Linked DNA regions of Schizosaccharomyces pombe. The protein of the gene in region 3 interacts with the protein of the main gene of each other region in a pairwise test. Each region holds a gene or a part of one and is shown on either strand. Other genes may lie near its edges. The genes, in order: utp21, isu1 and nap2.

What was found.
Region 1: the proteins of nap2 (region 3) and utp21 interact in a two-hybrid assay, tested with the Schizosaccharomyces pombe proteins (2 studies listed by BioGRID).
Region 2: the proteins of nap2 (region 3) and isu1 interact in a two-hybrid assay, tested with the Schizosaccharomyces pombe proteins (2 studies listed by BioGRID).

Annotation. Positions count from the first base shown.
Region 1 is NC_003421.2:573,500-577,257, reverse strand, and holds the start of utp21 (U3 snoRNP-associated protein Utp21), read right to left. Parts: upstream 1,775-3,758; 5' UTR 1,722-1,774; coding exon 1,646-1,721; exon of another isoform or gene 1,587-1,645; coding exon 1-1,586. Other genes in the region: asp1 (inositol hexakisphosphate kinase/inositol pyrophosphate synthase), read left to right, coding at 2,786-3,758.
Region 2 is NC_003424.3:517,126-520,883, forward strand, and holds isu1 (Fe-sulfur cluster assembly protein Isu1), read right to left. Parts: upstream 1,827-3,758; 5' UTR 1,319-1,826; coding exon 740-1,318; 3' UTR 291-739; downstream 1-290. Other genes in the region: rna4 (Prp4 family U4/U5/U6 small nuclear ribonucleoprotein complex subunit), read left to right, coding at 1-122. UniProt on the Schizosaccharomyces pombe protein: Scaffold protein for the de novo synthesis of iron-sulfur (Fe-S) clusters within mitochondria, which is required for maturation of both mitochondrial and cytoplasmic [2Fe-2S] and [4Fe-4S] proteins.
Region 3 is NC_003423.3:2,984,216-2,987,973, reverse strand, and holds nap2 (nucleosome assembly protein Nap2), read left to right. Parts: upstream 1-2,074; 5' UTR 2,075-2,125; coding exon 2,126-3,265; 3' UTR 3,266-3,467; downstream 3,468-3,758. Other genes in the region: UV excision repair protein rhp23, read right to left, coding at 1-787, 829-901, 942-1,010.

The DNA.
Region 1 (3,758 bases), on a different chromosome or scaffold from region 3:
AATGCCGAAATCGTCACAAGCGACAGCAACGAGGTCTGATGAATGTTGATAAATCGCATGAGTAATGGAACTTCCAACGTCTAATGAATCTATTAAGTTTCCTTTGTTGAAATCCCAAAATTTTAAAATCCCGTCCAGCGATGCAGTTACAAGAATGCGATTTACATTGTCCAACATAACTGCAGTGACTGGTTTGCCTGATAGAGAGCTTTGTCCAAATGATTTCCTTTTGATACCACTTTGCATGTTATAAACATCTACAACGCCTTTAGAGCTACCAATCAAACCAAAATTACCACAACAACTTACACAAACAGACCGTACTGACGTACCGTCACTAGTTGGTAAAACGTGTTGACCCAATGTTTTAGATTTCCAGTTCCAAGTGCGAGCAGAACTATCATTTTTGTGGGCAGTTAGAACATTATCCCAATATTTTTCACGAGTATTTGAAGAAGATAGGGCAGTTATCTCGGGTAATTTTAATTCTTCCGGGCGAACATTAAGTTTCTTTGCCTTTGAAATAACAGAGCCTTGAGATAGTTCGGTTGATTGTGAGTCTTGGTATAAACTAACTGCTCTTAATGACCGATCAGTTGCAGCCGAAATCAAGAAGTGCACACTTTTCCCATAAAACTTAACAAATGAAGGTGGCTCGTAATGACCATTACGAGAACGTAGGATTCTAGGAGCACCATCCATTGAATCAAAGATCCATTCTTTAAGAGAGTTATCTGGACCAGCAGTTACTAATATGGGCTGCCCGTTAAGAAACTGTATCTTTGGAAGTGACCCAAAATGAGCATTATATGTAACATTTTGAATTCTTCGCTTTGAAAGATCCCAAAAAGAAAGGTCACCAATGGGGTTGGAAGAAGCTAATATTGGTGTCCCATCAGTACGGAATGAACATGAAAGAACTTGGCCATCTTGTTTGAATTCCATGAGTATTGAACCATTTTTAAGATTAAAGATTACAATACGACCACTAATAGTACCAACAGCTAAAACATCGAGGACAGGGGCTTGTGTTAAACTAGTGATTCCATCACCAAAAAATTCCTGAAATTCATGTACACGTTTAGAAACACGCAAATTCCAAATCTGTAATGCTCCATCTGAGAATCCTAGCAGTATTTTGTTCAAATAAGTGCTTGGATGTAGTAAACTAGTGATATCTGCATTGGTATTAGGAAGAAATGTAGTATGAAGCTCAGGAACACTATATTTAGAAGCGTGTTTCCATACATAAACATGACGAGAAGATGTACAAGCAATAATCCACTCACCAAAAGCATCTAAATGAGTGACTGTTCCATGTTCTTGCTCCACATCAATGTCCCATATTATTTTACCACGTTTATATGCAAAAATTTTTGATCCGGCAGCTACAAGCATGAAATCTTTAAAGGATTTTAAACAAGTAATTTCCTTGTCTAATTGCTTGCCAACGAAAAGCAAATTCAACTTTTCGCAGTCATATGTTTGAAATGTGTTTCCCACCGACGTTGTTACCAAAAAATGGGTTCCACGAGCCTCAATGTCGAAAGGTACTGCATTGGAAACGTGACCGATGGATCTAAAGGCTAAAAATACAGTTAGCAATCTGTTCATTCCAAAAGAAAAAGAGAGAATTTTGACTTACGAGCATAGATCCTAGATTTTCTTAGAGGCTTCACCGCATTTTCATAAGTCCTCCGTTTCTTCTCTGCAAATGGCATTTTATCACAGGAAAGAACACAAATAGCACGTAAAATGGCAAAGGATGGCTCTTGTCCTGTAACTTGCAAAAAGCAGTGTTTGTGAAATTCTAGCAACCCTTTACGACCTACAGTAATAATCGTTAATTTACGACAGTGTATTTACTGAAATCGATAAATGTGTTTAACGATATGGTCAATCCGTCATATATCAATTTTCGGTAATTATAAATAAGAATCGTTCTGCTATTGTTCCGTTTATTTAAGTAAACAAATTATTTATTATTAAAAAAAAAAGAGAACTAAACATTGATGTCTAATGTTATTGTAAGATTTAATCGTAAAAACATGTTAGCAAAACTTCTACATTCTCTTCAGAATACCTAAAGAACTCTATTCACATATATCAAAAAGTGGTAAGGTAAATCTATGATTGTTGGAATTCTGGGCTTGTAAATAATGAAATAAATTTCAGTAAATTCTTAAAAAATATTTTTCTTTATGTAAAAGGTGCGAGAACAATATACTCTTGAACCCAGCTAGTAGAAGTAATTTTTTAATGTTTGTTGCTTGTAAAATTTAAACATTCCAGTCCACGTGTTTTCGCACGGACGAAAAGTAAAAACCTATTAAACAAAAATTTTTTCTAATTCTTTTTTAATTTAATATTGATGGATTTTACAAGCTTTTACTAAACTGGAAGAATACGTTTTTGAAAGAAGAATAACAGAAACTGGGCTTGGTTAAAAAAATTTTTATGAAAACCCAAATTAACTAACCCAGTATAATTAGTAAAAAAGTTATTCATAGAAGCATTACTGCGAAACAAATTCAATATTCACTGTCCACTTCATTTAAGCAACAATTTCTTATTTATTTACATTTCGTTAGGTAAACAAATGTTACCTCGCTGAATTGTAAGGTTAACCGTACAAGTAACATTGATCGACTAGGTGTGTACTAACACCGTGTACCTACATCTCTCATAACCAAACAAGTGAGGGAATTGGCCATTGAAAGAATACAAGTGGGAAAAAGGTGTTTTAAGCGTTATTAAATATTTTAACGTAGTTGAATAATAAAGGATGATTCAAAATGCAAGTCATCTTACATCTATCGACACAGAGTCATCTACCAGAACGGCGTCGCCTGTTTCCTCAATCGTTACACCTACTAAACGAAATGTAGTTGGAATCTGTGCCATGGATGCCAAAGCTCGCTCAAAACCATGTCGGAATATTCTGAACAGAATCATCGCAGAAGGTGAGTTTGAAGCCATAGTATTCGGTGACAACATGATTTTGGACGAAGCTGTGGAAAATTGGCCTGCTTGTGATTATTTGATATGTTTCTACTCTAGTGGATTTCCATTGAAGAAAGCTGAAAAGTATGTCGAGTTGCGTAAACCTTTTTGTGTAAACGATGTAGTATTCCAAGAGTTGCTTTGGGATAGACGGCTTGTGTTGAACATCCTTGATGCCATACGTGTTTCCACCCCTCAGCGTTTGATTTGCTCTCGTGATGGAGGTCCTAAAATTAATAAAGTCCTAGAAGAAAAGTTGCGTCGAAAGTTTGGAATAGAAATCACAGAGGTTCCTACCCCAGAAGTAAAAATGTTGGACGAAGATACTCTTTCTGTTGATGGCAAGATAATAAAGAAGCCGTACGTTGAAAAACCAGTCTATGGTGAAGATCACAATATTTATATTTATTTCCCTAAATCCGTTGGTGGGGGAGGTCGCAAATTATTTCGTAAAGTCGCAAATAAGTCTTCAGATTATGATCCAGATCTTTGTGCTCCACGCACTGAAGGATCTTTTATTTACGAGGAATTCATGAATGTCGATAACGCGGAAGACGTAAAGGTTTATACCGTGGGTCCTCATTACAGCCATGCAGAAACCCGCAAATCACCCGTAGTGGACGGAATTGTGAGAAGGAATCCACATGGTAAGGAAATTAGGTTTATCACCAATCTTTCAGAGGAAGAAAAAAATATGGCCTCTAAGATATCAATTGCGTTTGAGCAACCTGTTTGTGGATTTGATCTTCTTCGTG
Region 2 (3,758 bases), on a different chromosome or scaffold from region 3:
TGAACTGCTCATTGATTAAAAGTATGGTGGGACACGAAGAAAAGGTTATGAGTGTTGACGGTTACGGAGACAGATTTATCTCATCAGGATACGATCGTACAATCAAGTTATGGTACCCTTAAATTTGGGTGTGGCAAACGGTTTTGGTAATGAGTTTAATATAGGCAAGACAGTCCTTTCTGACTATTTGCGTGATGGGCAACGAAACAATGAATATATATGAACATTTATATTACATGGTTTAATAGCTAGAAGATGATATTCATGTATACTACTAAAGTTTAAGCAAACACAGAAACAGCTTATAGTTTAGAAATAAAAGACTCTAAATTATTTTTCATTAGACGTATAAAGATTCGAATAAAATGCTATAGCAGGAACTAAAAAAAAAGGAAGGGGAAAATGTACAGAGTAATGATTTTTATAACCACAATAACAAGCAAATAAGCATCAGCAGCATTTTGAAAGAAAGCACTTGCATCAATTTAGTCCAGATACATATAGTGCAGAAACATTAATCAATATATATTGCTAAATGGGAGGAAGAATGCAAGCAAACACATAGACCATATGTTTACGCCAAAGTCGACAAGCAATCTTATGTGGAAAACACTGTTTACATGTACGCAGTTTAGGAATTAAAAGGACCGGGTAGAAAATTAGGAGGCGGGGTCAAAAAGCGGAGCGGAAATTAGCAGATTTTTAAACAGATGAAAGCTATGACTTTACAATCAAGTTTCTAAGCGGTAGCAGACTCAATAGCGCCAGCAGTTGTACCAACAGGCGTTAATTGTTTAGAGCGATAATGCTTTACAGCGCTTTTAATGGCATCCTCGGCAAGCATGGAGCAATGAAGTTTTACAGGAGGCAAGCAAAGCTCTTTGGCAATTTGGGTGTTTTTAATTTTAGAAGCCTCCTCAAGGGTCATGCCCTTGACCATAGTGGTAACGTAGGATGACGAGGCAATTGCACTACCACAACCAAAGGTCTTGAACTTTACGTCCTCAATAACACCATCCTTATTGACACGAATAGCAAGGCGCATAACATCGCCACAGGCGGGAGCACCTACCAAGCCGATACCCACATCGGGATCACCTTTGGGCAAAGTACCCACATTCCGAGGATTGTTGTAATGGTCTAAAACATTCTTATGGTACATACGACGAGAGACGTTTGCGGTGACTTGAGGGACGAATTTTGACGAGTTCGTTTTGAGAAACTGTAAATTCGCTGGACGGGCAAGAAGAGAAGAGCGTTGAGCCAAAATTGAAGGCAAAACGCCAACGCATTGAACGGAGCGACGGAAGACACTCATTTTAGGGAAAACAAAAGAAAAAAGAAAAAAATCAGATGACAAATCACGTCAAGATCTAACAAAATATCTGTATCACAAATCCAACTAGATTTGTTTTCAAAACGTATCAAGTAAAAGGCTTGAGTACGTTTTCAGTGTTTTTGGGGGATGGCAGGGAGTTTTCAAAGTTTCAGATTTTATCTGATCTATATAAAAAAAAATAACAGCTTTGCCTTTAAATCTCCTTATACGTAAATGACGTTAAAAAGTGTGTAAGGGTAACGCAAGGAAATTTGTAAACCGGGTTAATAAGATGACAATAACTATGTACACTCGATGAAAGGAAAAATCGATTCAACTATGTATCGACAATAAACAATCAAGACGTGGTTGAAAAAAATCGTGTCAGAGTTATGTAGTCTTATAGCACACAAAACGAATTGCTTTATTCAATGAAATTATTTTTCAAAACAACTTTAAATTTATGTTCAAAACGTCCAATATTAAATGTTGGTGAGTTGTATGAGTCAGTAGTGTTTGAGAGCAGTGCCTGCTATATATAGTGCAAGTCAGTCTTGAGTGTTTTCGGCCATCTTTATCTCATCTGATATGAGAAGAAATTCTGTTTGTCGAAAATGTGACTGTTTTTCCCTAACAAATCACAAAGCTAGCTTAAGGTGGATGGTAGCGAATAAAATAGGGAAGGCAATAGTGGCAAGCGAATCGGAAATGCGGTTTCAGCAGTAAACGCCAATTAAGGGACTAAAACGTAATCCGGTATTACTAGATTTACGAAGAAAAAGTTTTGGGGAGGCCACAACAAAGCAGTCTGAAGCTTATGCAAGTATGATGTACAGCTAGACAAATAAAGTTGTTTTCCATACACAATATGGAAATTCCAGTGTTCGATGGTGAAGGATATGTGTTCACAGTATATTCGAAACAAGGTTGTGGGATGTGGGATATGGAAATTGGAAAGAAGATGCCGTCCCCCTTTAACTGAGGAAGGAATATCAGATAGCAGGCAAGAAGTAGTTAGCGAGAAAGAAAGTAGTCAGTTAGGGAGTACAGGTGGAAGGGACGGCATGAGACAGACGGCAGAGAACGGGTAGGGTGCTTGTATGTTTAACAAAAATGATGATGAAAAGTTGGTGGATGCACGACTAGAAGCTGGGATACATGCTTGAACGGTTTTTTGGTTTCCATTTGTTTATCTGTTTTGCATTTATTTCGATATGTAATTAGTTGCTGGTTTGGATTATACATGTAAATAAAAAAGGTGTAAGGATAATCTTTCAAAAAGAGAAGTTTGTATAAGAAATGGTTAAGCCGTTTTTATTTTTTTTATTTTTTTTAATGCACCTCTTGCACTGCGTATGTTTTTTTGCAACAATCGATCCCGATAACATTGCCAAGGCCGCTAACCTACGATCATACTTTCCAATAGGCAAGAGCGAGTCCATAGTTGCTGGAACTAGGGTTCCGCATCACGGAATAACGGAGCTGGGCGAAAAAAAAAGGAACAGGTTGCAAAAAGGCACTATACATTTGATGTGTAACAAAGTAATATTCGAAACAGTCTATTTCACCAATAACAGTTTAGCGGTCTAACGGTTTTTTTAAAGGATGACTAGTTTTTTACAGCATTCAGTAAATTAGCGATATAACATTACTGCGCCCGTCATCCTTAATTAAGATAGGAAGGCCGTTGGAGATTGCAATAAAGTAATGGGCCTCCAAGCAATTGAGGAGTGTGATAAATATGAGAAATTATAACTATTTTTTAAATTTTGTTTTTATTATTTAATGTAAATATCGGTATTTCGAAATTGAATCAGTGGTATCTGAGACTTCTCTTAATTTTATATCTCACATGCTCCACAAGTGTCTTGGAGTGTATAGCAACAGAACTCAAGAACGTTGAATGTAACGTAGTGCAATGCTATTCATTCAAATTGGTAAATTTTTGATTGTGCATATTAACGTTACATTGCAATATATGTTGAGGATGCTGAAGTTGTATTGCATTTTTTAAAAATAACAGACTCCTACGGATTTATCCTTTGCTGCGCTATAATTTAGTAGCTTAGAAATCGTTCTATCCAGCTTGTAAAGCGAAGCAAACGCAACTTTGCGTATTGTGCGAATTGGACTCATGCTTGGAATTTCGAAACTTAAAAGGGATTCGGCTTTGAGCATGAGATCCCCACACTTGTCTTCTCTCCATCAAAAGTTATTGTGAATTTATCTTCAAATCGGGAATTAATCATTTGTAAGTGAGTGTTTACCTTTACAACGTACTGGTAAACAGAAGATCAATTATAATAAACATCTAGTTTGGTATGAGAGATATTTGATGCTAATCGTGTTATCATAGATTAGCTGTATAATTGAAATTTATTGTTTTTTTTTTCTTTTAATTCCCTCTCTTTTATTGCAAAACTCATATTTAACTTTATTG
Region 3 (3,758 bases):
GGTAAGGCAGACTCGCCTTCGGCACCCTCCGCCAATAATTGCAAAAATGCTTCAGGATTTTGCGTAATAGCTTGAGCCAATGCAGGATCTCCCTGCCCAATTTGTTGCAATATAGTTTCCAACATCTGTGGATTTTGTTGAACAATTTGTCTTAGCTGTTGAAATTGAGGAATGCTACGAAGGAAGCCTAGAGGGTCATCACCAACGGTATTAGAAGGTTGTTCTTGATTTTCATTTTCTGATAAAGCAGCTTGTTCAAAAAGATTCGCTGGCTGGCCAGTGGAAGTAGGAGCAAGGGCTTCGCTTTGCTGTTGCTGAGCAGCAAGGGCTGCAGCACTCTCTTCTCTCTGTCGATTGAGAATGTCTTCGGGAATACCAGTTAATAAGTATTCCACTGCCCGATCAGGGTTGTTAAAAGCGGCACGCATGGCTCTTTCAACTTCGCTGCGTTCGTATCCCATTTCTACCATATTTTCGACAGCAACATTTCGTTGAGCACCAACTGCCAATGTGTTGGCGTCTATTGGTGCTTCACTAGTGGCAGTAGTATCTGGGTTTGAAGGGGCAGCAGCAGCAACAGTTTGTGTAGTAGAGGTAGATTCCGCCACGGTAGAAGAAGGAGCTTCAACTTTCTTTTCAGGTACGGAAGCCGGAGGATTGGGGGCAGGACTGGCAGCTGATTTCGGAGTAGAGGTGGAAGTTTTGGGTCGTGAAACCATGCATACAATGAAATCCTGTTCTTTTATATTGTATTCGCCAACAGTTTTGTCATCAGCAAGGATTCGACCTATAAATTAGTATTTTACATATTAAAATTATGTTATATACCTGAGTAAATTAACTTTTGACGTTCGACTTCATAATTCTGTTGCGTTTGAATTTTTTCTTTTAATTCTGAAATCTGTTTACGTTAGAAAAATAATATGCCACAATTATCATACTTTGGTATCTGCAGAAACATCAGAAATAACAAATTTCTGCTGCTGTAGATTTTTGAATGTCAAATTCATTTTCAAAGCAAATTTGGCGTAGTGGGTAAATGTATAGTAATGAAAACCTCTTTGAAAAAACGTTGCATCAGAGAATAATTGTCAAGGTAGCAAACAAACACCATACACAAGTAACATTATTTGGTATCATCGCATTGTTTATCATAAAATGTGAATGAAAAATCTAAAAAGCAAAACAGTTTGGTTTATTTGAACCTAAAATTTAATGTAAGAAAATATTTCATTTGTTTGAAAGTGTTGTGAGTGAAACATTTACCTCGTTTCCAAGTCCATTAGTACTCAATACAGTGTATTAGTTTATTCTTTATTCTTTAATTTACTATATATATATATATTTTTCTGTTGGATTATTCATTCTCATTTTCTATTTATTTACAGAACGATCGCTAATAAATTTATATATATTAATTATGATTTGTTTATTTAAGTTAGCAATGACCGTTACAATAGCAGATTTTTATTTACAAGTTTGACTTTTGAATTATGTTCCGATAGTTTTTCGCTCCTCCGTGGGCAACTAACTAGTAAACAAATGCTACAATAAGGTTGTTTAACTCATGAATATAGAAGTATATGATACGTAGAGTTGTTTATTAATCAGTATCCATATATATATATTTTTTATAGAATTTTCAACTAATAATTGGGATACGATACATATGTTAAACTAATATGAATAGCGTAGACACTTTGCTTAAACGAGATATATACATTTGTTTATTTCATTGATTTTTTTTTTAGCTATTTGGACAGCTACATCAGAATTTGAAAGCAGCGCCTTTGGTTTATACAATCCATTACCTTTGTCAGAGAAAGTATAAGGAAAGCGGAGAGAAAAAAGTCAACGTATATGTAAACTTCCGGATGCTTTCTAATTTTACATATTCTTCCAAATAAAACCCCAAATACTATCCCAAACTATGATAGCCGCTAAACACATAAATATATTTCATTAAAGACTCTCATACGAAAAATGCTGTAAACATATCATTAAAATATGCTAAGCTGCAATAACGAGTCAGGCCCAACATCTCTTTGGTAGACTTCACGAAGATCCACAGTCCAACAACGAAGCTTTACCAATTTAATTTAATCTCCGTTTGCATTATTAAAATATGTCTAAAGGTCCAGGAGATTTTAAGAAGTCTTGGAATGGGTTTGCTGCTCAAACGCCACAAAATACTCCATCTTCAGATGTACATCTTAGTAAGGCCGCATTAGAAAAAGCTAGACAAACCTTGCAATCACAACTGGAGGACAAATCAGCACATGATGAAGTTAGCGGGTTATTGCGCAACAATCCGGCCATGTTATCAATGATTGAGGGACGCCTTAGCTCGTTGGTTGGAAAGTCGTCGGGATATATAGAGAGCCTTGCGCCAGCAGTCCAAAATCGTATTACAGCATTGAAAGGCCTTCAAAAAGATTGTGATGCAATTCAATATGAATTTCGTCAAAAAATGTTAGATCTGGAAACAAAATACGAGAAAAAATATCAACCTATTTTCTCTAGAAGAGCCGAAATTATCAAGGGTGTTTCTGAACCAGTGGACGACGAATTAGATCACGAGGAAGAAATATTTCAAAATAATCTTCCAGATCCTAAGGGAATTCCCGAATTTTGGCTGACTTGTCTTCATAATGTTTTCTTGGTTGGCGAAATGATAACACCAGAAGATGAAAATGTCTTGCGATCACTCAGCGACATTCGTTTTACCAACCTTTCGGGAGATGTTCATGGTTACAAACTAGAATTCGAATTTGACTCAAATGATTACTTTACAAACAAGATTTTAACGAAAACTTATTACTATAAAGATGATTTAAGTCCTTCGGGTGAGTTTTTGTATGATCATGCTGAGGGTGATAAGATTAATTGGATCAAGCCTGAAAAAAATTTAACGGTTAGAGTGGAGACAAAAAAACAACGTAACCGTAAAACAAATCAAACTAGATTGGTCCGTACTACGGTCCCTAATGACAGTTTTTTCAACTTTTTCTCACCTCCTCAGTTGGACGATGATGAATCTGATGATGGTTTGGATGACAAAACAGAGCTTTTAGAACTCGACTATCAATTGGGAGAAGTCTTTAAAGATCAAATCATACCCTTGGCAATTGACTGTTTCTTAGAAGAAGGTGACTTGAGCGATTTTAACCAAATGGATGAAGAAGACTCTGAAGACGCATATACTGATGAGGAGGATCTGTCTTCAGATGACGAAGAAATTTTGAGTAGCGAAATTAGTGATTGATATTTATATTGTGTTCGTTAGATTATGAGTAAGTTCAATGTGAGCAAAAATGAGAAATTGACGCTGAATGATAATTTCGCTTATAGTTTGGTAAGTTTATTGTGGCTTAAAAAATTAAAATGTTGATTTACGTCGTAGTATCCTATAAAATATTTAATAAGCGGATCTAAGTTAGGATTTGTCTTTAAAATTTCAATTTGTTTTCTTGTCTTTTTAAATTTTGAATTTTTTTTTCCAATGCAGGTATAAAAAATATACTAAGTAATTTTTTATCATTCTGTGAGTATATTCTACTTACATGGTTCCTTTTTTAATAGCTAGTATTAGGTTAGTACGCGCATTATTTGAAGCTGTGGTGTTATTTATTAGCATTTGCTTTTCTAAAATGATAATGCGGACAGCCAGCAAAAAGTAAGCGGCTATTACTATAACTATCTGCAATAGCTTTTTCTATTTATTTTATACGTCAAAGCTAGATCTGTTCGTACATTAA